3 linked regions of the Schizosaccharomyces pombe genome follow. Changing the gene in region 3 together with the main gene of any one other region gives a genetic interaction. Each region holds a gene or a part of one and is shown on either strand. Other genes may lie near its edges.

What was found.
Region 1: mutations in eaf1 (region 3) and sec72 together harm fitness less than expected from each alone (positive genetic interaction), as found in Schizosaccharomyces pombe (one large-scale study listed by BioGRID).
Region 2: mutations in eaf1 (region 3) and emc1 together harm fitness less than expected from each alone (positive genetic interaction), as found in Schizosaccharomyces pombe (one large-scale study listed by BioGRID).

The regions. Positions count from the first base shown.
Region 1 is NC_003424.3:4,385,164-4,395,147, forward strand, and holds sec72 (Sec7 domain-containing protein sec72), read right to left. Parts: upstream 7,331-9,984; 5' UTR 7,262-7,330; coding exon 1,793-7,261; 3' UTR 1,679-1,792; downstream 1-1,678. Other genes in the region: slr1 (RNA-binding protein), read left to right, coding at 1-923; kti12 (elongator complex-associated protein Kti2), read right to left, coding at 7,736-8,409, 8,555-8,726; tsn1 (translin), read right to left, coding at 9,544-9,578, 9,636-9,804, 9,847-9,929, 9,968-9,984. UniProt on the Schizosaccharomyces pombe protein: Guanine exchange factor that acts as an activator of arf1 at the trans-Golgi net-work and is thus involved in vesicular budding and traffic between compartments of the Golgi apparatus.
Region 2 is NC_003424.3:2,531,472-2,538,485, forward strand, and holds emc1 (protein Emc1), read left to right. Parts: upstream 1-2,314; 5' UTR 2,315-2,349; coding exon 2,350-5,007; 3' UTR 5,008-5,184; downstream 5,185-7,014. Other genes in the region: CAF assembly factor complex subunit B Pcf3, read left to right, coding at 1-1,208; atp19 (F0-ATPase subunit K), read right to left, coding at 1,433-1,457, 1,520-1,656, 1,699-1,743; ribosome biogenesis protein Sqt1, read right to left, coding at 5,230-6,429; mde5 (alpha-amylase), read left to right, coding at 6,990-7,014. UniProt on the Schizosaccharomyces pombe protein: Part of the endoplasmic reticulum membrane protein complex (EMC) that enables the energy-independent insertion into endoplasmic reticulum membranes of newly synthesized membrane proteins.
Region 3 is NC_003421.2:1,858,907-1,864,589, forward strand, and holds eaf1 (RNA polymerase II transcription elongation factor Eaf1), read right to left. Parts: upstream 3,031-5,683; 5' UTR 3,008-3,030; coding exon 2,923-3,007; intron 2,821-2,922; coding exon 2,729-2,820; intron 2,564-2,728; coding exon 2,477-2,563; intron 2,353-2,476; coding exon 1,861-2,352; 3' UTR 1,561-1,860; downstream 1-1,560. Other genes in the region: serine/threonine protein phosphatase PP2C catalytic subunit Ptc2, read left to right, coding at 4,851-5,683.

The DNA of each region.
Region 1 (9,984 bases), on a different chromosome or scaffold from region 3:
ATGATGGCTCACGCAGAAACGGAAATGGAAGACGTAGAGGAAATTATTCTTCTCATGGGTCCAACAAACGACAAACTAATTATTCACGAGAAAAAGACGCTTCACGTTCAATCGATTCATCAAACCCATCAGCTGAATATCGTGATGATATAAATAACACTTTTGGTTCCCAAACTGTGTCAAGTGCCAATGGTAAAGAAGTGCCTCAGACTTCGGAAGATTCCAGTTCTCAAGCCCCTCATCACTCTTCCTCTTCAGGTCATGCTCCGTCTCAGCAAGGTGGTAATAAGCATTCATATAAAAAATCCGACTCTCAACAATCCTTCCATCACAAGGGAAGAAATACACGTAAAGGACAACGACATAATAATGGTTTCTACCGAAACATTGCCAATAATATACAAGGTCCATTTCCAAACTATCCTGTCGTCGTCAATGGTAATGGCGTTAATCCTTACCTTTGTGATGTCCAAGCATTTCTCACTTCACAACTAGAGTATTATTTTTCGATTGAAAACTTGTGCAAAGATATGTTTCTTCGTAAACATATGGACGATGAAGGTTACGTTCCTTTAGCATTTTTGGCTTCCTTCAATCGAATTAAGAGCTTTTCTACAGATTTGAATCTTTTACATGCAGCTTGCAAGGCTTCAGATATTATTGATGTTGCTATTGATCTCCAGTCTCCTATGTCCATTAAGGTTAGAAGAAAGGAAACTTGGTCTCCTTGGATTTTACCTTCAGAGTCACGCTTGAAGTTTGAAATGGCCAAGTATCCTCAGATAAACTCTAGCTCCAGCATGTCCCCTCTTGCCAGTTCCATTTCAAATTTGACAATTTCTCCTCCATTCATTCCTTCTTCTGTGGATTCAATTATAAAAAGAGATGTTCAAACTGAGGTTGAGGATAAACTTACTGTTTAGAATTTTTGATATTTTTTTTATTTCTCGAGGCATCAATATTTTTCGTTCATTCTGGGTCTGTTCTTTTATTGACGCCTGTACTTTTTTTTATTTAAAAGGCAAGGATTGTTTATTGAAACTTGACTTCTATAGTTTGGTTTTGGTTACTGAAGCGTAATGGGTTTATTTCTTTCGGTTAAAAGAAAAAAAAAAAAAAAAAAAAAAAAAGAAAATATTGTACTTATTATAAGAGTATATGTCGTTTTCGATAAATGGGATTACTGGATTAAATGATTATCTAAAGTGATGTGTCATTTATGCTAAATTCTAATTTTTTTTTACTTAAAAAAAATCATTGTTTATGATTTGCATATAGTTTCTGTTATTATTTTCAACTGTGATACGCTGTAACTTCATGCTTCCTGATTATATCTTCCAAATCACTGGCTCCCTTTATTATTTTGTCATGGCAAAATTTTGTGAGTTTAATATGTTTTCTGTAAAGTAAATTTACCATTTGTACCTTGATGCTTCAACTCATAATGTACTCGTCTTTACTTTAAGCTATTCTATATTTAAAGGCCGCAGGGACATGAAATGAATAATAGAAGAGGATATTTCACGAAAAATCTTTAATTGATCGTTAAAAAAAAGGTCTCTGGTGTGTGTGGCAGTAGCATCTTCCTTCTGGCGTTGGATTACTACAAATACTGATTAGCTTACATGCAGAATATTAAGAGGTTGTTCAAGTTTTGAAAAAAACTTATTTAAAAGAAGGGCAATTTTTTAGAATAAAAAAGAAAGTTTACCAATAAGTTATCTAAAATTATAAAAGGATTATTTGTTTTACTAGAAGCTAATTTATTGAAATTAATTGAAAATCACTTTATTTATTCCTGTTGGGCATTCAGGTTTAATAGAATGTGACCCACACGATTAAAGTAATTTTTAAGTAGTTCTCTAAGTTGATCATCAAGGTTCTCCTTTGCAATCATAGAACAACAAGAAAAGTAAAGAGTGTGAATGTTTTCGGAAAATAATTCTAAAGGAAGATTCAGTATACTGTCCAGGATTGTAGCAATGACAGGCTGCCATGCAGCATGGTTACGCGTATGTTTCTCAACAACCAAGGAAGCATACATATCCAGCATTTCGGCACAAACCGGAAAAAGAAGTTTATGAATTTTCTGATCCGTTTCTGTTTTACCTAAAGGGTCTCTGGTTTTTAATAAGCGGAAGAGCAAAGTGATGTACAACAATGCACTAGCCGTTTCTTGTCTCAATAAATTAGGGAGTTGCTTCATAAATCCAACGTTCAAAAGCGTAATACGTAAAGATTTGTCTTCATTAAACTTGCGAGCAAACTGCCATGAGTCGTAAATAGCCACAGTTATTTTCAATACATGTTCATGGGGGATATGATTAAAAACTTCCTCGTTATCTAACAATTCAGCAACAATACTTATTAAAAGTAGTTGAAGAATACATTTTCGAATCATTGAACGGAACTCCATCTGTTTCTCAGGGGAAATTGAGGATGTCGAAATTGAACGAGAAGTTTCCGGTAGAGAACCGCCTCGCTTATGGCTCAATTGAGTATTTTCATTTTCGGAGTAAACAGGGGCTCCTTGCCCATTGGAAAATGTTTCTAGAAGAAGAAGCTGATGAGGGGTGGTTTCCTTGAATAACTCAATAAACATATCAGCGACCAGATTCCAATCTTTAACTTCAAACCTATACGCATTTCCAGAAAGTAGCTGCTGCATACAATTTGTTCCTATGCGAGAAAGTGTAATATTATCTCTACAAATGCAATTGCTAAATAACCATAGATAACCTTTTAGCAAATTGTGAAGTTTGTCAAAACGGCGTGTTAACAAAGTGACGAGACTTCGTAACGCTTCAACAAGAGTAGTAGATTGCCAAGTCCTGATCTCCTCATCCCTTAACATAACAGTCGCTTCATCCGCTTCTGGTCCAAATATTGAGAATATCGGGAATATAAATTTTCGTGAAACAACTTCCCAAGTTTCTTCAGTGAAATCATCAGACTCTTCTAAGAATATATAAAATAAGTTTTGAAGAGCTCTTGACCTTACTTCCAAGTCTTCAGCTGACATTATTATATCATAATATGCAAATAAAACTGGGAAAACATATTTAGAAAATGTCTCATTTACTGAAGGCTTGGAACTAAGTCCTTCCTTTATCATAGTTGAAAGACTTGAATAAACTTCTCTAATAATTTCCAAACTTTGTAAAGAGATTTTCTGGTTTGTTCCATTTTTGCATAATTCAGTGAAGGATATCAACATATCTATCAAACAATTTTGCTGCATTAAAGTATCATAATGCTCGGAAAAAAGATTGACAAGGGTATCAAAAGTCATAGAAATTAATATTTCGCTTCTAGCCTTAGCCGCAAATGTAAAAACGCCAAACAAAGTTTTCCATCCAGATTTTATTTTGGAAATTTTAGCTTGAATCATTTGCTTAACACATTGTAAAACAAGTTCTTTGACTTCTACTACGGTATCGGAAGCCATAACGTACTCAAATGGCTTAAGGAATTCTTTCTGAAAGGAAAAGAGAGACAACTCCTCAATTTCGAGAAAATGCATAGAAAGCTGCCTCAGGGAATCCAATGCAAAAACAGCAACATGCCTATTCTCATCACTACCCACCATGTTGAAGAATCTACCCAAAACGTTCCAAATTGATGACCATTCCACTCTAATCCTTTGCATGTTATAATAGGATATCTCAACCAGCTTTTGTAGACTATATAGCCTTGGCTGCTCCAAATCACTAGAAGATGTTATTTCATCCCAAGAAACTTCACATAATGCTTTAAAGAATGATACTATCGCAGAGCCAGAAAGAGAAGATGTTTGGGTAAATATTCTATCAATGCTCAACACTACCTCAGTGGACATTAGTTCTGAAACTGCCTCTGGGGATAAAGGTTTAGATAGTGAGCGAGTTCTAGTCGAACGAGAAGTACTTCCACTAACATGCCGAATTGAGTTTGAAGAACCAATGTTCACATTCTTTCGACGAACACGTGCATTTATAACATCAGGTACTTCTGTTTCATCGACACCAACACCAATCAGTTGCACGCGTTCTAGTTGACTTATAATAGTAAGGATATCTTTCCAAGAATCTTTCAAATTATTACCTTCGGTAGATGCAATTCTCAGTAATGTTTTTATAACCATAGTATTACGTAATTTGATTTCACTGGTAGAATGCAGATTAGTAAAATTAGTCAGAGTTTTTATAAAAGCGTCTCGAATAAGGTCAAGGTCAAAGAGACAAGCTATACGGACAACAAGCTGAAATCCATCAAGACACATATTAAGTTCATTAACATAATCAGAATTTTGTAAAGGGTTTGAAAGAGCAGCAAGTATAGGCATCCAAGTAGCCTCAAGCATGGGACCTATATGTTCAAAATGAGTAGCATTGTAATAAACATTTGTTTTTTGTGATCCATGTTTCTGTTGATACAATAGCTTTTTTAGCACACTTGTAGCCTTATTAGCCATTTCCTCCGAAGCTTGAATACAAGCTACTCTTTGCAGATCTCGTCCATTAGAAGTAAATGTGGTGAATCCACTAGATGTGCTGAAATTATTCATTAAAGGAGCAATCGCTGCGAGTTCTTGATCATCTTTCATAGCAATTTCATTTTTAAGAATGTCATCATATACAAAACCAAGATAGTCTTCATCTAAATCAGCACCGTCATTAATTCCACGATTATTTTTAATGAAGTCTTCTTTTGTCATTTTGTTTTTAATACGAGGAGAATGCAAATCAGTATTAAGCAATATTATAGAATAAGCAAGAATGTAGGCAGTATCAGCATTAGCGAATGCAGACGGATTCTCCTTCATATACCTTTCGGAAAATTTCAGCATAATTCGATCAATTTTTTGGGCTTCACCGGGTAGTCTGAAACACTGCAATAGACGACGTAAAGCGTCTACAAACTTTAAATTTATAAAAGATAAACAATCAATAAATTCATGCATCACGGAAATACTTTTCTCATCCCCTTCTCCTAAGTAATCTCCTAAAGTAGTTTTGTCAATACCATCAGCACGAAACAGAAATTCAGCGATAGCTTTAGGATCATTTATGTCAACATATTCATTTTCTGAAAGCATCTTAAGACCTCTAGTAGGTTTGTAATTGAACTTGTTTATACAAGTCCGTAATAGCTTCTTTCGTTGTTTGTTTGATTCAAATTGTGAAGGATCTGCAAGTGCGATAGAACTACTGCTATGGGAATTTGCTTCAAACGATTGTTTTCCGTTATAATAAGGATTCGTCACAGGAGTATCAGACCTGGAAAGCGCATCATAATCTCCAACAAAACCTTGCTCATCCGTTGACACACCTCGGCGAGATAAATAAAGACCACTTTCGGCCCAATTTGATAAAGATTGCAAAATGTCAAGGACGCATTGCAAAGTCTTTAGCTTCAATTGAAAATCGCTAAATGTGGTAAGTTGAACCACTTCGGACTTTAACGAAGCAGAGTTCGTATTTAGAAAAGGGGTACTACTCCGTTCAGAAGATTCTAAAGAAGGAAGAATTTCTTCAATATCTTCGGATATCGTTTCCGAAGGACCATTGGTAGTAACTTTTGAGATTGAAAACAGCAATTGTTCGAAAACGTTGGTAGTGGAAGAACGATCACAATCGTAATTTATATACAACTCTACAAGAGCTCTTGGATTAAGACAGATTCTCTGGATGATTAACAAGGTATGGAGCTTCTGATTGTAGGAGGTGTTCTTGAGGTCTAACATCGGAAAATAAACTTCTCGAAAAAACACTTCAATTTCCTGTTTGAAGTGGGCACGCAAAGAAAAAACCATAAGATAAAAAATGTCACAACAGACTTCAAACACCTGGGGAACAGGACTTACAGCATTGCGAGATAATACTAGGCAAATATATTGACGGGAGGCATGAACAAGGGTCATTCCTTTAAGTGCTGGGATACCACGAAATTGGAGAGTAGGATCCATGAATAAGTCACTATTTTTTTCTAAAATGCGATATATAAGATGGAGACTAATTAATTTCGCGCGCATAGCTTGAGATCTGATATTACTGACTTTATCAGGCGAGGTTTGTCTGACAGCAAGTCGACACATGGATCGGAACACTAAAAACGCGTCTTGGATAGAGGAATTCTCAACACTGGTGACAGCTGGGTCATCTGCGTCAACTTTAACATGATCTAATGATGAAGTGCCAGCAGATGCCATAGAATGAAGAGTAATTTTCTTGTCAGGCTCATCCTCATCGTGAACCCAATTTTCCGTCACCGATGCATCTTCTTCCGGTAAAGCAGATGTAGAGTTCGACTGAGTGTGGCTCGCGCGTAATCGTTCATAGACTACAGTGACAGCCTGAGTCAAAGAAGCTTGAGCAACTGACTGTATAGTATCACTATCCCCGAGAAGAAAGACATTAAAGAGTTTACGAACAGAATTCAATAATATCGCTCCATGAAGCATACTATCCTGCTCAGAACATAAGATAAAGGCAGATAAAGCTTTTACAACATTCAATTGCAGATTTCCATCAACAACTTCATCATTGATACTATCGCATACCATATCAACCATACACTGTAGAAGGGATTTAGGGGGCCCAAATGAGGCAGGTGTTTTATCTTTTGAAGAAAAATAGGCGAATGAAGCAAGTTTAGAAATAGTGTCTAAAGAAATGTTCATAACTTCATCTTGACTGGATTCAAAGCAGTACTGAAATAACTCTACTATCAAAAATTTGTCAAACTGACATTCGGTTTGTAGAAGAGGTTTTAGTTGCTCCATTAAATTCTTCATCTTCTCGTTCTTCATACAAACTTTTATTTGTATAAGCTGCTCGATGCACTTTATAAGCACTACATGAGTGGATTTTTCCAAATTGGTTAAACCTGATTTTTGCTTTTCCAAACTGGCCCTCGATGCAGCGTCAGGTACAGGCGTCGCGATAGTTTCATTGGATTTTTTGTCGTCTTTCAAGTCTTCTTCTTGATATTTCTGCTCGATTCCTTCGGGACTCTTTTCGTTTTCTTGTTTCGCTGGCGACAACGACGAATCTTCTGTATTTATATCAATACTTACCACAGCATCGCCTTCTAAACTTTCAGAAGCAACACGACCGAGATCCATACCATTTTCATCATCTTCGTTGTCAGAATCATTAATAATTTTAGTAACTGATGTTGTTCCAACTTCTGGAAGATCTTCGTGTCTGTCATGTTGCTCATTCACGGAGTTCATAGGCAGAGCAGGCATATTGATCACAGGTTCAGAGGCATCCTGCATTTTGGCATCGGTCACGTTCAAGCCAATTGCCGTCTAGACGAGCCAACTTTTAGCAATGAAATATAAGGCGGAGTATGTCTTTGCTAAGTGTTTTCGGCCTTAATGTGTCGAACGTTAGATCTCGGTTCAATGTGCTACTTATATAAAGCAAACGAGCGAGACTTATAATAAATTGTTTTATTACAGTATGGATTAAATAGTAAACATTATAACTAGATTTATACAATATTCGTTGTTTTACTGAAACTTTTATTGTCGATATTGACCGTGAACGTTTTCTTATTTCTTTTTTACAGGACAGCATTCCTTAAACTGTAAAAGGATTAAGGAATTAAACAAAATGTACGATTTCTACCATTTTAAACATGTTCTAAAAAAAAGAAACAAACAAAGTTAAGTATTAATATTAGGCTACATTTTTTCGTCCCCTTAAAAATCCCAAAAAAAAATATCATAAAGTTTAAGAAAAGGATATCAGTCCAAGGTTTCAAATTGACCATTTAAAAATTCGACAAACATTTCCTTGAGAACATTGGTATTATATGATTGTTGCCGGTTAATTTGGATAAATTGACGGCGCAATCTTTGAAGTAAAGGAAGAGATACTGTAACACTGGGTAATGCGATTTGAAGTTTGCTCCCTGGTACAGTAATCAAGGAGGTATCGTTGGAATTATCCAGTATAAGCATGATTACGTCTTGAGTAGTTTTATCTAATTCATATAAATAGTTGACTTCAGCTGGAGGTTTTACCATTGTAGCTTGGTTAGGCTTGACATTTTTGTTATGAATAAGAACTGACCAGATGTCATCGATAGGACAAGAAGCATCATCGTGCAAGACAGTAAATAAAGGGGAATCCCATCGTGTCATTCCATTCGGTTCTTCATAACGAAACATTAATTGCTCAAGAACATCGTCAGGATACGGCTGTTCCTTGTTACTATTGAATTTTCGACATAAATCTTGAGGAACAGCAACATGAATCACACAATGAGTTGTGTACATAGACTTTGATTCACAATATAACTGGTATCGAAATCCTTTTATGTAATTCAAGGCATCGCAAATTACGAATGTAGATTTTGAAAGTTCACGCTGAACAGCAGAATAGAGAAGGCCACGAGCGGCCTTTTCGTTCTTGGACTCTAAGACAAATTAGTTACCAGAATTACGAAAAATTGCATATACGGATTCTCCCATCATCTAGAGTAGCTGGGCACAATCTGAAGCCAAAAATGAATTGGCTAATTTCCAAAAACTAAATCATTAAAGATAACTATTTAAACATACCTCGATATGTTTCTTTTTCAATGTTTAAACTCTCATCGTTTATTATTATCACCCGATAATCCTTTGTATTGTCGATATTTTGATGAATTCGATCTTCTAAAGCCTTTTTAAGTTCATTTGACCTCGTTGTTTTCCCTGAAGATGGATAACCTGAAACAATTATTAATGGCATTTTCTTTATGTTCTACAAAATAGAAGGTTGAATAAAATCAGCCGTAAAACATATGTTTGAAAACTTCCAGCTTTTTTTTGATATATTTTTTCATGAATTTAACGAAAATTACTAGTTCGTTAAACATTAGTAAACAGTTAATTTTTATCCTTAATTTGTATTTCGTAATGCGCTCAATTTCGGTACTGACTTATTACTTACGACTAGTAAGTATTGCTTAGGCTTAAAAACACAGTAATTTCAATTTGCGGTCTCTTTAATTTAATCTTGCTTCCCTTTACCTTATCAATTGTTCTAAAAGAATTAAGGATTAACACTAGTAAGACCCCGGATTTTAATCGCTAAAAAAACATGCACGCCTTCTACGCAATCAGGGTTGTTCAATTTAAAAATAGTAATCATTTGTTGAAAGATTTTAAAGGTGCATAGGACATCAAGAAATATAAGCTAAATGCAGTTGATTAAAAGTTAGAAAAGTATCTACTTATGCCGCCATTAACATGTATCTGGTAAAATGCGACTAACTTATAACACATGTTGTATACCAGTCCAATGATTAATTTAGTACCCTGGAAAACGTCTTGAATATTGGGTAAAGAAAAATCAGAACTTAAAGAAACCTAGGCTGAAATATTTTTTTTTTAAATAACTATTCAGTTTGCCAGAGAGTGTAACAAAATTAAAGAAAGAGAAATATAATTGCATTCATCATAGGACTGCCAGTTTCATAGCAAATAAGCAGACCTAATATTAAAAAAGCAATTTTATCGGCTCAATTTTAGTCAAGCGTACAGCTGGCAAATAAATTGTTAGCAATTTAAACCAATTTATGTATCCGAAGATCATAAACAACTGCATATGTCAGAAATAAACTATCAAAAAAAAAAAAAATCCACGTAAATTTCATACCGTCCTCAGATCTTTTCAAATCATATTTTAATCCATCGAAATGTCTTCTTAAGGAGTCGTTTTTCAAAGAGAGTACTTGAAAAGAAGAATGAACTTTTTGAATAGTATTTAGGGCCTCAAATGGAATATGATAGTTTCCAGATATTACTGAGTTTACAGATTGACGAGCCTAGAAATTGTGTCAATTTGGATTGTTGAATAGAATATATACCAGTTCAGAACACAGAGATAGTACTGCGTGCAAATATTGCTCAATTGAAAGATGAAAAGTGGACTCTTCTGGAAAAACCGGGACTGAAGATTGTGAGAAAAATGTAAAATAATTTACGCACCTTGCAAAATTTGACCA
Region 2 (7,014 bases), on a different chromosome or scaffold from region 3:
TGCAGAATTTCGAACATATTAAGTTTCTAGAGAATCAGATTAGTGAGGATCATTTTCGTTGGAAAAAAAATTCGAAACATCTATACAACTTACTAATAACCCGTACTTTAACATGGCCCTCTTTAAGTATCCAATGGCTCTCAGCAATGGAATCGATCACTGAAAAAGCGGTTTTAAAAAACCGTCTTCTCCTAGGGACTCATGCCGCTGAAGGGATGCCAAATTTCTTGCAGCTTGCAGATTTAGATTTACCTGATTTCAATCAAACTATATTGGATCCAGTAAAACACTACAATGAAGATACTGGTGAGCTAGGAGGCTATAGTATGCAACATTCTTGCAAGTTCCAAATCTCGCAACGAATTCTTCATAATGGCGATGTAAATCGTGTTCGACACATGCCTCAAAACCCAAACATCATAGCTACTATGAGCTCTTGTGGAAATGCATATATATTTGATCGGACAAAATATACTTCAATGCCCGCTGAAGAATTTTTACCAAATATCTCTTTGATTGGGCACAAAAAAGAAGGGTTTGGACTATCTTGGAATCGTCAGCAAAATTGCCGACTTGTAACAGCTGCTAATGATTCGAAAATTTTAGAATGGGATCTAAATAATTTTAGCCGTGATACGAGGTGCTTAACTCCCGTAAAGGATTTTCATTATGATGATTCTCCGGTTAATGATGTTGAATATCATCCGCACCACACCAACTTATATATTGCTGTAAATGATAATGGAATTGCCTTTATTTGTGATAACCGACTTCAACAAACATGTTCGAAAACAGTTAAAGCTTCAAATCCCCTTTTTAGCGTCAGACATAATCCTTCAATTGCGACTTTGTTTGCTTTGGGGTCTGAGCAAGATTTACAGCTTTGGGACCTTCGGAACTTAAATAAATCGGTTTTTAACACTTCTGAAGACTTATCAGATAATAGATTAAAAGTGCCTTCTAGACTAACTCTAGGAGGCACCAGTTTGTCATGGAGCTGGAGACACTCTGGTCGGATTGTTAGTGCCTGCCAAGAGTATTGCTATGTGTGGAATTTTAACAAAGCTAATCCTTTGGAGTTTGTGCATGCAGGTCATAAAGGTACGGTGAATGAAGTGGACTTTGATCCGTTTGAGGCACAATGTATTGCTTCGGTTGCTGATGACAATGAATTACACATTTGGAAGCCCAATGTTATTGTTAATTAATAAATACTTACATCCATCACACGAGGTAATACAAAGTTTTAAGTTATACAGCAATTAATTAATTGCAATTTTGATGGGTATGTTGCAGGGCTATATTGTATTCATTCATCTTCAAATTTGCTCAACGTGTACATTAAAATTACCTAATGACATAGAGATATTTCATTACTAATGAAAAGATAATTTTTCACTCACTAATCGTCCGTTCGGTAATCAAGGATTTCCTACTTATGTTCTTCAATGTATTTCCTATAAAGTAGTATTAGTAAATATATTCCAAACACTCGCTATAGAGCAATAGCTTTACTTACAAAATGAATTCTTCTTCTTCTTTGCTTTTGGCATTCAAAGGAGGAACATCCTTTGCGCTAAGTGGCTTATTTCTTTTAAACAATTTACTATAGATCACAGGACCAACAAATACTGAACCGAGAACAGCTAAACTCAACTATGTTCATTGTTAGGTGTACGGAATTTGAAAAATACATACTTGATGAGCTTGGAATTGACGACCTGCAATTGTATAAACCGACATAATGCTTATATTTAATAGTGAATGATTGAATCAAGAGAAGGGAGGTAAAGGTTTAACACGGTTAGCAGCGAATATGAAGCCGACTGTAAACTTAGCAATCAATATATTCGTTAAATTAGCTTAACGAAAAATAAGGAATACAGTTATCACTTCAAGTACATATAAAATTGCAATAGAATCAACTACATGAAATTAGGAAGTTAGCTAGCTTTTGCCTTTTATATGAACTACTTCAAATTAGCAGATAAATAGTAAAAAATGTGATTATAGACATTTTGTTTGCATTTAGTACGTTTGCTAAACGTAGAGAATGTACAGGTGTTTCACAGCAAATTTTTAATTAACTGACTATTCTTTTTAAATATCTAAATTTTTCAATCATTCATCTTGCTGCGACATTGCTATACGCTTTCAAACCATATTGTTTAGTTTACAGTACCCAATGTGTATTTATTGCGAAAAGCATCGCTATAACAGCATATTCTTGGGACGCACTTCAGTAAACTGTGTTGTAGTTCGCTACTCCTCAGTATATTTGATACCTTGCATTAACAATAGGAACTATACAGGTACTGGACTACATACCATCTTTTCATATCAGTTACGATGTTACGGCCTCTGTGGCCTCTCTTTCTTACTGCTTTGTTTTTAAACATCTATAGAGCTGCCAGTGTTTTAATAGATGAAGCAGGGAAAAACGATTTCGAAATTTCTCTACTTGGTAAAGTTAATGACCTAGTTTATGACACCAAAAATGAATATCTGTATGCCGTTTCTCAGAAAGGCTTATTGGCGAAATTAAATGCATCAAACGGAGATGTGATTTGGCGCCAATCCATTGCACCTGAAACTAGTCAACTCAACTATAACCCAGTCACTAACTTTATTATCACCGTGGACAAAGATTATTTGTATATTTGGAATTCCAAAAATGGTATTTTGGACAGAAAAATTGAGCTCGCTGATGGAAAAGGTAAATTATTTGAGGTTAATAAAGGTTTTGTTTACCTCAATCCTCATACTCGCAAGTTCATAGAGTTGGATTTGCAAGCTTCATTTTCTATTTCAATTGAAAGGGATTTACAATTAGATGCTATTTCCTTTTTGACTTATGCTGAGAAAAACTACGTCTTGTTCAAGAGGGATGGTCAATTTGTTCTACAAGCTTTAGATCACAATTATGCTGTTTATGGACCTGAAACTGTTCTTAATGTTCCTGAAAACGCACAATTATTAGTCACAGAGAAAGATGTTATTATTTACTCTTCCAACGGTGTTATTTACGGTATCCATGTTTCTATGGCAGATATTTCTCAACTGCTTATAGATGAATATAAAACATTCGAATGGTCTAGTATACCTGGTAAGAGACATGGCTATTCAATTACAGTCGATTCTCAATCCACCCCAGTCACTTACCTCTTTGTTATCATTGATAGCGAATTTGTTTTGATTGATGAGTATATACATGAGGACACCGAAGCTCTAGGATATATCCATATGGAAGATAACCAAACATTTTCTCGAGTGTTTGCAGTGGCTAATCAAATTAAATTCGCACCAGCCACAGTAATTACCATTCCCAACCAGCTTTCTAGACCTGTATTCCGTTTATTTACATTTGCTGAGGGAGAAATTTCCGCAATTGTAATTTTGGACGACGGAACTTTCTTTTCATTTTCGAATACCGAATTAGTTTGGAAGCGGGAAGAAGCATTGGCATATGCTATCAATCCCTCTATTCTTCCAACAACTTTATTGACAAGCTACCAGAAATCCATTCAAGATGAGGAAAATTCATCGGTCTCTTTCTTAAATCGATGGTACCGTCATTTTAATCAACTCATAGATTTCTTGAAACATCCTCATGGTTTTACTTCATCCTCAGTATTGGATGATGCTTTTACCACGAAAATTATTATACCAACATCAACAGGATCTATATTTTGTTTATCCAGCGACCCTAAACAAGTGCACAGGATATTATGGCGCTATGATTTTAATATTAACCCGGAAAGTGTTGAATCTTGGCTATTGGATATTTCAGACGAAGATCCAAAATTTGCTTTTGTGCACCAGTGGAATGATGCTTTTAGCTTTTATATTTTGAATGCATCGGATGGGTCCGTGATATCTCAAAAATCTAGAGACTTTAAAGCTGACGAGTTTTACTACGTTGATAATATCTCCAAAAACTTACCTAATCAAATATTTGCCGTAAAAGATTATAAGGTTTTACCCTTGACCGGTGATAACTCAATATTCGAAAAAATTTCTCAAGAAGCCAATTCTATTTTTGTTTACACTTCTGAAACCAAAGTCGAAGGGTTCAGTATTTCTGCTGACCTTACAATGGATGTTCAATGGTCGTACAATCTAGCCGAGGGTGAAATAGTTATTGCTTCTATACGTCGTAATCCTCACGAAATAGTGGCTTCTTTCGGTCGTGTTTTGCAAAACCGTGAAGTAATGTACAAATATTTGAATCCCAATTTATTTGCGTTATTTTCAAAATGCAAAAACGATTTAGTCGTCTATGTAATGGACTCCGTTACCGGTTCTATAGTGTATCAGAATAAACACCAAGGAATAATATTGTTCGACAAAGTTTATGGAGTCTTCTCCGAGAATTGGCTTGTTTATAGTTATCAGAGCGATGTGCCTAATTTGTCTACCAAGATAATATCAGTTGAGCTTTTTGAGGGATCTCACTCTAACGAAAAAATCGACAGCAACGAAATATATTCTCGTCATAATGATTACAGGCCCTATGCGTTCACTAAAGCATATATATTCGATAGAGAAATTACGACTTTGGGTGTCACCAACACTCCGCAGGGCATCACCTCGAGAGATGTTTTACTTGGCCTATCAAGTAACCAAGTTGCAATGATTCCACAAGCTCTTTTGAGCCCTATGCGCCCAGTCCTTAGACCTAATGAAAAAGCAAATGATGCGTCCTTTATCCCATACGAACCCATTATACCATTGAACGATGATATGGTGTTGTCTTACAACAAGCGCGTGTACGGAGTATCTCAAATCACTTCTGGTATTACTAATTTTGAAAGTACGACGTTGGTTTTATCAACCGGACTTGATGTTTTTTTTACCAGAACAGCTCCAAGTATGCCATATGACATGCTCAGTAGCCATTTTGATAAGAAACAACTTATGTTGACCACTTTTGGCATTCTGCTCGCCGTTCTGTTAACAAAGCCTTTGGTAAAGAAAAAGCAGCTTAATACCAAATGGTACAATTAAAAACACCATGGAGAATAAAAATATACTTGATTAGATTTGCTACAGATTATATAGGAATAATAATTCTTGGATAAAACACTAGTTTACTTGTATTACTTGTTTACTCAATAGTTTAAAAAAAAAATATTAATCCCCATGAATATATATAAATTAATATCGAACGCGTTTATCCCATAATAATAATTTTTTTTTCTTTTCAAAAAATTAACCTTTTTAACACTTTTAATGTTCGCAATCAAAAACAAGTAATTCGGTGTCATCAGAACCGGTTACAACACGTTTACCATCTGGAGTAATAGCCATACACAAGATAGGCTCTTGATGGCCTGTATACTCGCCAAGTAATTGGCCAGACCGAACATCCCATTTTCGAATAACACAATCCGCGCATGCAGTCAACAAATATGGAGTGTTGGGTAAAAACTTACAATCAATAACCGCTTGTTCATGGGGAAGGGATTTTCTAAACTTAAGGGATGCAGAATCGTAAAGCGCGACAGTACCATCGACACTAGCACACGCACATATAGGTAAGGCCGTGCAAAGTGCGATAGCTTCTACACTTTCAGTTTGGGCCTCCAAAGAAGCAAGAATATGACTACTATTAATGTTGACAACTTTTACTTTTCCTGACGAACCTCCTAAGAAAAGAACGTTACCTTCAGCATTACAGTCGAAGCTGGTCCAACCGGCGGCAGTTTCTTCATTACCAGGATCAAAGCGATGATCATCACTAGACATTCTGCATTCTGGTGCTCCAGTAGCCGGGTTCCAAACAATTAATGTACCAGAATCATCTACGGTTGCTAAACGCTTGCCAACACCGGGTGGGATGAATTTTCCAGCATTTACAGGTGCCGTATGGCCATACATAACCTGAACCACCTTACCAGAGGGAAGACTCCACATCCATATACTTCCGTCATTACAACCGGCGGCTAAGAACAAGCCCTTAGGGTGCCAAGATAACCAAACAATTTCGTCCACAGTTTCAAAAGCAGTAATGAACTCAAAACCTGTACTGGATTTCCACAATCTGACTTGACTATCCATACCACCAGTAGCAATATAAGTTCCATCAAAGCTCCAGTCTATAGCTACTATGGAGTCTTTATGTCCTGTCAATTGACATATTTGTTCACCGGTAGTAATGTCCCATATATACCCTAGGTCATCTCCTCCACCAGACGCGCACAGATTTGAATGCACTGGATTGATAGAGACGCTGAATACAGAGTCTTTATGCTCGAAAAAACCTTGAACAGACATGTCCATAACCATGTTATTCATAGTATCGTTTTGTTCTTGCTCAGCTTCGTCCTCTGTGACACCTTGGTCCATTAGTTTGTCATTATCTTTAATAACTTCTTCTACTTCATTTTCTGCTATGTATAATTCTTGATTTTCTTCTTCTTCGGCCATTATTAATGTGGGTGTGTACCAGCTAAAAAGCTTTGCAAAGGTCAAGCTTAGTAAGGAAATCAGTATGTATGTAATTTTACTTAGGTAATAATATATTAATTTTATTCATTATATATACATATAATAAAAATAAATAACAAAAGTATCTTAAAATAAAACTAGTTTAATTAAATTATTTATTACGTTTAACCAGTGAATGAGTGCAAGATAGTATACAAAAATTTTCAATATTTCAAAATGCTACAATTCATATTAGACTCAAATATATATAGTTATAACCTAATTCTTCATAAACAATAATCTTTCGTAGTAATCCACTTCTTGAAGTTTTCATATTCGTAATTGATCCACCATCTGTAATAGCCAAATAAGAATTCCTACGGCCATTATTACTGGATACGCTGAATTAACGTATGAAATGGTTTGTTTACTTTCTTGAGCGTTTTAAAGCTATAAAGGGAAAGAAAGTATTTTTGTTTGTTTACAATGAAGTAAACAAAAAAAAACTACTTAAGTGACAAGCGCAAGCAAACACTTCTCTGGAGCAACTATCATAAAGTATGAAGCACAACGAAGTTTTTGGAT
Region 3 (5,683 bases):
TGGGATTCCTGTTGAAACGGTCCAAATTTCCAACAATTGTTTATTTCCCATTTCCCCCATACTTTCTCTCTCTCTCTCTCTTTCTCTTTCTCTAAGAATATTATGAAATTTATCGCTTTACTTTATTACATTTTACTGCACTACAAAATAAAATTTTATTCTTGGAATAGAGCGACGTAATCTTTGCGAAACCATTCTTTTAACGCACATTGGTACATTTCTTAAACTCCGATATTCTACTTGCACCCACTCTACCTAAGCTTCTTTGAATTTTCATTGGATCGGTCGCAGCGTAAAGATAGGTAAAGAAGGAAGCTGGTTGGAGATGGTAATAATAATAAATTACATTATTGGATAGGCTGATAGGCTTGTTCCAAATGAGAATGCAACATCCCTTTTCCTTTGTATCCCTTTTGCTTACCAAGAAAGTATCATTGGACCCGTGTAGAATGAGGAAACTAGTCCGTGGAGATGGACCGTTGGGGATTGGAGCGTTGTATCGTAAGCGAGAATAGTGTAGGGTGGGTTCAGCAACGGTGAGGGAGGTAATGTGAGTTGGAGTGAAAGATAAGGAAATGGAAGGTGGTGCGATGGAGGTACGATGTAGGAGTTTAATAAAAAGATGAAGGGTAGTGCGTTGGAATGTGTTGTTAAGATAGACGAGGAGGGAGTGTGTGTGTGAGTGTGGTTGAATTAGAATTCGTATGTGTGTATTTGAATTTGAATTTGACTTTGTATTTGAATTTGAATTTCAATTTCAATTTGCATATTTTCAAGTATATTGCTGATTAATCATTTGTCATGAAAACATCAAAAGAATCAACTCAACTTTTTTTTTTCTCTTGGATGTTTTTCTTGTTTTTTTCTTTTTTGCATCAATGAATTAATTCTTTTCTAAATTTTTTATTTATTCAATTTTTTTATTTATTTTAAATCCTCTTCTCTCTTCTATCCTTGTTTACACTCTCTCAACTACAGACAACATTGTTACCTAATGCCCCCATACACTATATATACACACACACCTCTACCTTCGTTCTTCCTTAAACAACGTATTCATTATATTCCTTGTCCAACATGTTTACCTGGTAAAACACACCGCTAGTTGACACTATCTATACTGACTGATGCTGTTGGATGGTGATTTCTAGTTTAGTTTTTCTAATTACAACAATATATTTTCCTTAGTGGAAATGCTTTGAGTAACTTCTTTTCATTTTCATATATTCAGACTAAATAGGTAAGCTCGTCTTTTGCATGCAGGAAACTGAAACGACAAATGTTGGATTGCAAGGATGCTTAATCATCTGATTTAATGAGCCTGATGGTCTTGACAACCAAAATGCTGTCAACTTTGATTACTGAGCAATTTACAAACGAATGTCAAAACTCTTTTTTTGTCTTTTTCCTGGTTCAGACAATTAGTTTTTCTTAACTCCTTTTACTAATTCTTTTTTTTACTAGTCAAGCTTCTTTTTTTTTTATAGTTTATTTAAAACCCCAACGTTGCTACTCTGGTATTGCCGTGGGTTGAATAAAATTGTCCGTCTCATGAAACGCTAAGACAAGCCATGTTTTTTATAGTCATTATGAATTAATAATAATAAAAAGAAATATAAAAAGATGAAAACATTTTAAAACGATATATGTTTTTCCCTTGGCGTAGACACGTTCGTATATAATTAAAAAAATGACACAGAGTGAAACGAGTTTATTACCGCCGATTCGCTGTCGAGTAGTGATGGAAAAGACTTGTCTTGCTTTACTTTACTCCCTGGAATTTCGTTGCAAGTCGTTCATTAACAGATTTTCTCATTATCGTGTTTGGAAAGTGTATACGAAACACAGCATAAAGCATACTTAATCCTCATCCTCGGAAGCGCTGCTGATACCCTCTGCCTGAGCAGAAGAAGCATAATCCCTCTCTTGCGAAGATAGACCCCTCAAAGAGATTGGTTTGCTGGCCGTTTGGGATACTGTAGAGGGGTCGTCTATGGAATTAAATTCCTGATCAAATCCTAGCTCTAACTCTTTGGCAAAGTCATCCAACTCCATGACCTCCATGTCAGGCTCATCGTTGGTATCGGTGGTGATTGGTCCCTTGCTAGATATGGCAGGATATCGAGTATTGCTCGATGAAGGTTTTATTTTTCCATCCTTTGAAGCTTCCAATTCCTTTTCTTTACGTCTCGTGGAATTAGTCGTGACCGCACTTTGAGAGGTCGATTTGGATTCAGAGATTTGGGAATTATCAGATTGAGTGATGGCATTAGAAGGTACAGTTTTAGAGACTTTTGGATTGCGTAAAGCATTTAATCGAGCAATCTCATCAATATGCTCCAGTGTGAATGTCTAATGCCTAATGTTAGTATCGTAGTAGTGACATGAAAACGATTCCTGTTCTATACATACACATGCACGCATGCATACATAGATTTTAACCTCTTTAAAAATAGTATATGGGACAATAACTTACCTTTGTTTTAGCGTTAAAAATTAGTACACAGTCCACATTCCTGGCTCGTTGGCATGAGCCTTCAAATATATGAGGCCTGTCATCATCCTACCAATGAAGATATACATTAGCATTCGTTGATTCAATAACAGAAGCAAATTGATGTTTCAAAATTTGAGGAACCAAAAAGTAAAAAAATGATTTTTTCAAATTTTTACTCCTCATGGAAGAAAAGGGAAACCAACTTTGCTTAGTCAATTTTATAATACTTACAAAAGTTGAAGGAAGACGTAGACGATAGGCTTCCTGAGCCTTTTCTAAAACACCTCGACGAGAAGGGTCCACACTTTCTGGTATAAAATTGTCTATAAACAAAAAAGAAATAAGTATTCTGCCTGGAGAAAGTATGATGTTCATAGTTTGCAACAGAGATATACACTGTCTCTAAAAATAAATGGGCAACGTACATTTAATAGATAAAAGTCCATTTGAATTCTTTGAGAAGCTGGACCCGGGAATAACTTTGTATGATCCCTTCTGTAATGAATTCATGATTGTTTATAATGGTAAAAGTCAGGCCTGTACGAAATTGGAAATTTCGATATAAATCAAATAAATAACGTAAGGTAAGACAGCTCAAGGTTTCTAATTTTAAACCCCAGAAATGTAAGCTACGCAGTTTGGTATCTGGTTTAAGGATACGTAGAACTGCGGTGAGTTTTCCTTGTGGTCTATTATATTACATTACACAGGTTGTATAAGTAGCAACTGAGAATAGGTATTGTATTAACAGGGTTATAATGTTACCTATCACTAATATAGCTCATAACTGAACTGAGGAACGAGGTTCAGTTGGAACTCTATTCATAATATTTCTAAATAGTTGTTATCATCGGGTATCTATGTATATAGACGGATAGTTACCCGTGATTATCAATAAACGGATCTTAGCTAGTATTCCAACATATGACATATAGTGATGCGCAACGTAGTGTATCATAGCGTAGTGTAGTATTGCTGACAAGAAATGAACGATAATGGATAAACACTCAATTTGCTATACCAATTTGCGAGCAGCTATTTTAGCATTCGTAAAAACGAACTTACACAGTGCGCGACCGAGAAAGACGTTGTAGGTTGTACAGTATATATCATTTCGGTACAAGGATGAATCCTTTATTTACAAGATATATATACATTCGAGGACTACCTGCGCACAGTCAGCAGTATGATTGAAATATTATAAAAATTTACTTGCGTTTCTTGTCTTTTAGGTGCATGTCGTAGGGCAAAATTCTCAGAGTATGATGACTGTTAGATTTATTGCTGCTATTGACAACAAAAACGTCACGATCGATTTAAAAATTAGTAAATCAGTAGTCAAAATACATGGTTTTTCTTATTGCTGCGTCAATCTATCATTCATTGATATTTATTAGCTACAGCTCATTTCTTTTTAAAAAATTTACCATATAGCGAATCGCGGGAAATGAACGTTTAACATTTTTAACGAAGTTAGCTTCTAATACATTAATTACGAAGAGCTTGTATAAACAGTTGACTAGTGTAAGCAGGTATATGAGCATTGTGAGCAAAGCCTTTTTGAATAAGATTATGTTTATTATTGTATTATTAATGTACCAAGTTGCATGGGGAAAAAGTCTACGACATTTTCATGAACATTCCATTCTCATTTCTCTACCTCTTGGATTATTATATTAACTTTTCATTTATGGTAAAGCAACATAATCTACGGCTTTACCGTACTCGGTTGTATGGTGTAGCGGTTAGCACGCGAGATTTTGATTCTCGAGATCTGGGTTCGACTCCCAGTACGACCTTTTTGCCAGAGCGAACAGTGAAAGGAAAGAAGCAAGAATTGCTTTTAGACCTGGGTTTGGATTACTTTTTTCGATATCGCCATAGCTTTATTATAAGTAAGGGCTCCTCGATGCGCTAGCAATTTCAAGGCATCGTTCATTAGTGTCTTTGTGAGGGTATATTAGCCGGAGCTGGAGCACATTGAAGCTTAACAGTATCAAAATTTATTTTTTATATTGTAAATCATTTCTACTAAATTATTTACCCACCCTTCATTTTCACGCTTTTCTACCCAACAACGATTTGGTTAATAACGTAAAGCGTACGAATTTGCAAAGCAACGCTTCCGTGGTGTACAGAAAATCGCTATTTTTTAACGAGACAACTTTAAAGCGTAATGCGATATAAAGTTTTTTTAAAGTATCCTTATATATTATTTAGCTAGCGTGGTTAAATTCCCTATTAATTTGCTCATACACTTTTTTTTGTTTCCTTTCCGTAACTTTACTAAACGCATCAACCGCAAATTACAGGTTTTTTAGCTGGGCTAACAAAGGTAATAGAAAATATACACATGGGCCAAACACTCTCAGAACCCGTACTCGACAAACATTCGAGTTCTGGCGGGGATCGATGGCTTCATTTTGGCGTTTCACACATGCAAGGATGGCGTATTTCGATGGAAGACGCGCATTGTGCGTTGCTAAACTTTACGGATTCCAATTCTTCTAATCCTCCGACAAGCTTCTTTGGGGTCTTTGATGGGCACGGAGGCGACAGAGTCGCCAAGTACTGCAGGCAGCACTTACCAGATATCATTAAAAGTCAGCCGTCTTTTTGGAAGGGTAACTATGATGAAGCTTTGAAATCTGGTTTTTTGGCTGCAGACAATGCGTTAATGCAAGATCGGGACATGCAGGAAGATCCTTCGGGATGCACAGCTACCACTGCCTTGATTGTCGACCATCAAGTAATATATTGTGCAAATGCTGGGGACTCGCGAACGGTCTTAGGTAGAAAGGGAACTGCGGAACCACTTTCTTTTGATCACAAACCAAACAACGACGTGGAAAAAGCTCGAATCACGGCTGCAGGGGGATTCATCGACTTTGGTCGAGTGAATGGTAGTTTGGCTCTTTCTCGTGCCATTGGAGACTTTGAGTACAAGAAAGACAGTTCCTTACCTCCAGAAAAACAGATCGTTACAGCTTTTCCTGATGTCGTTATTCATAACATAGATCCAGATGATGAATTTTTAATTCTGGCCTGTGATGGAATTTGGGATTGCAAGAGCTCTCAACAAGTCGTGGAGTTTGTAAGAAGAGGCATTGTTGCGCGGCAGTCTTTGGAAGTAATTTGTGAAAATCTTATGGACCGTTGTATTGCTAGTAACAGCGAGTCCTGCGG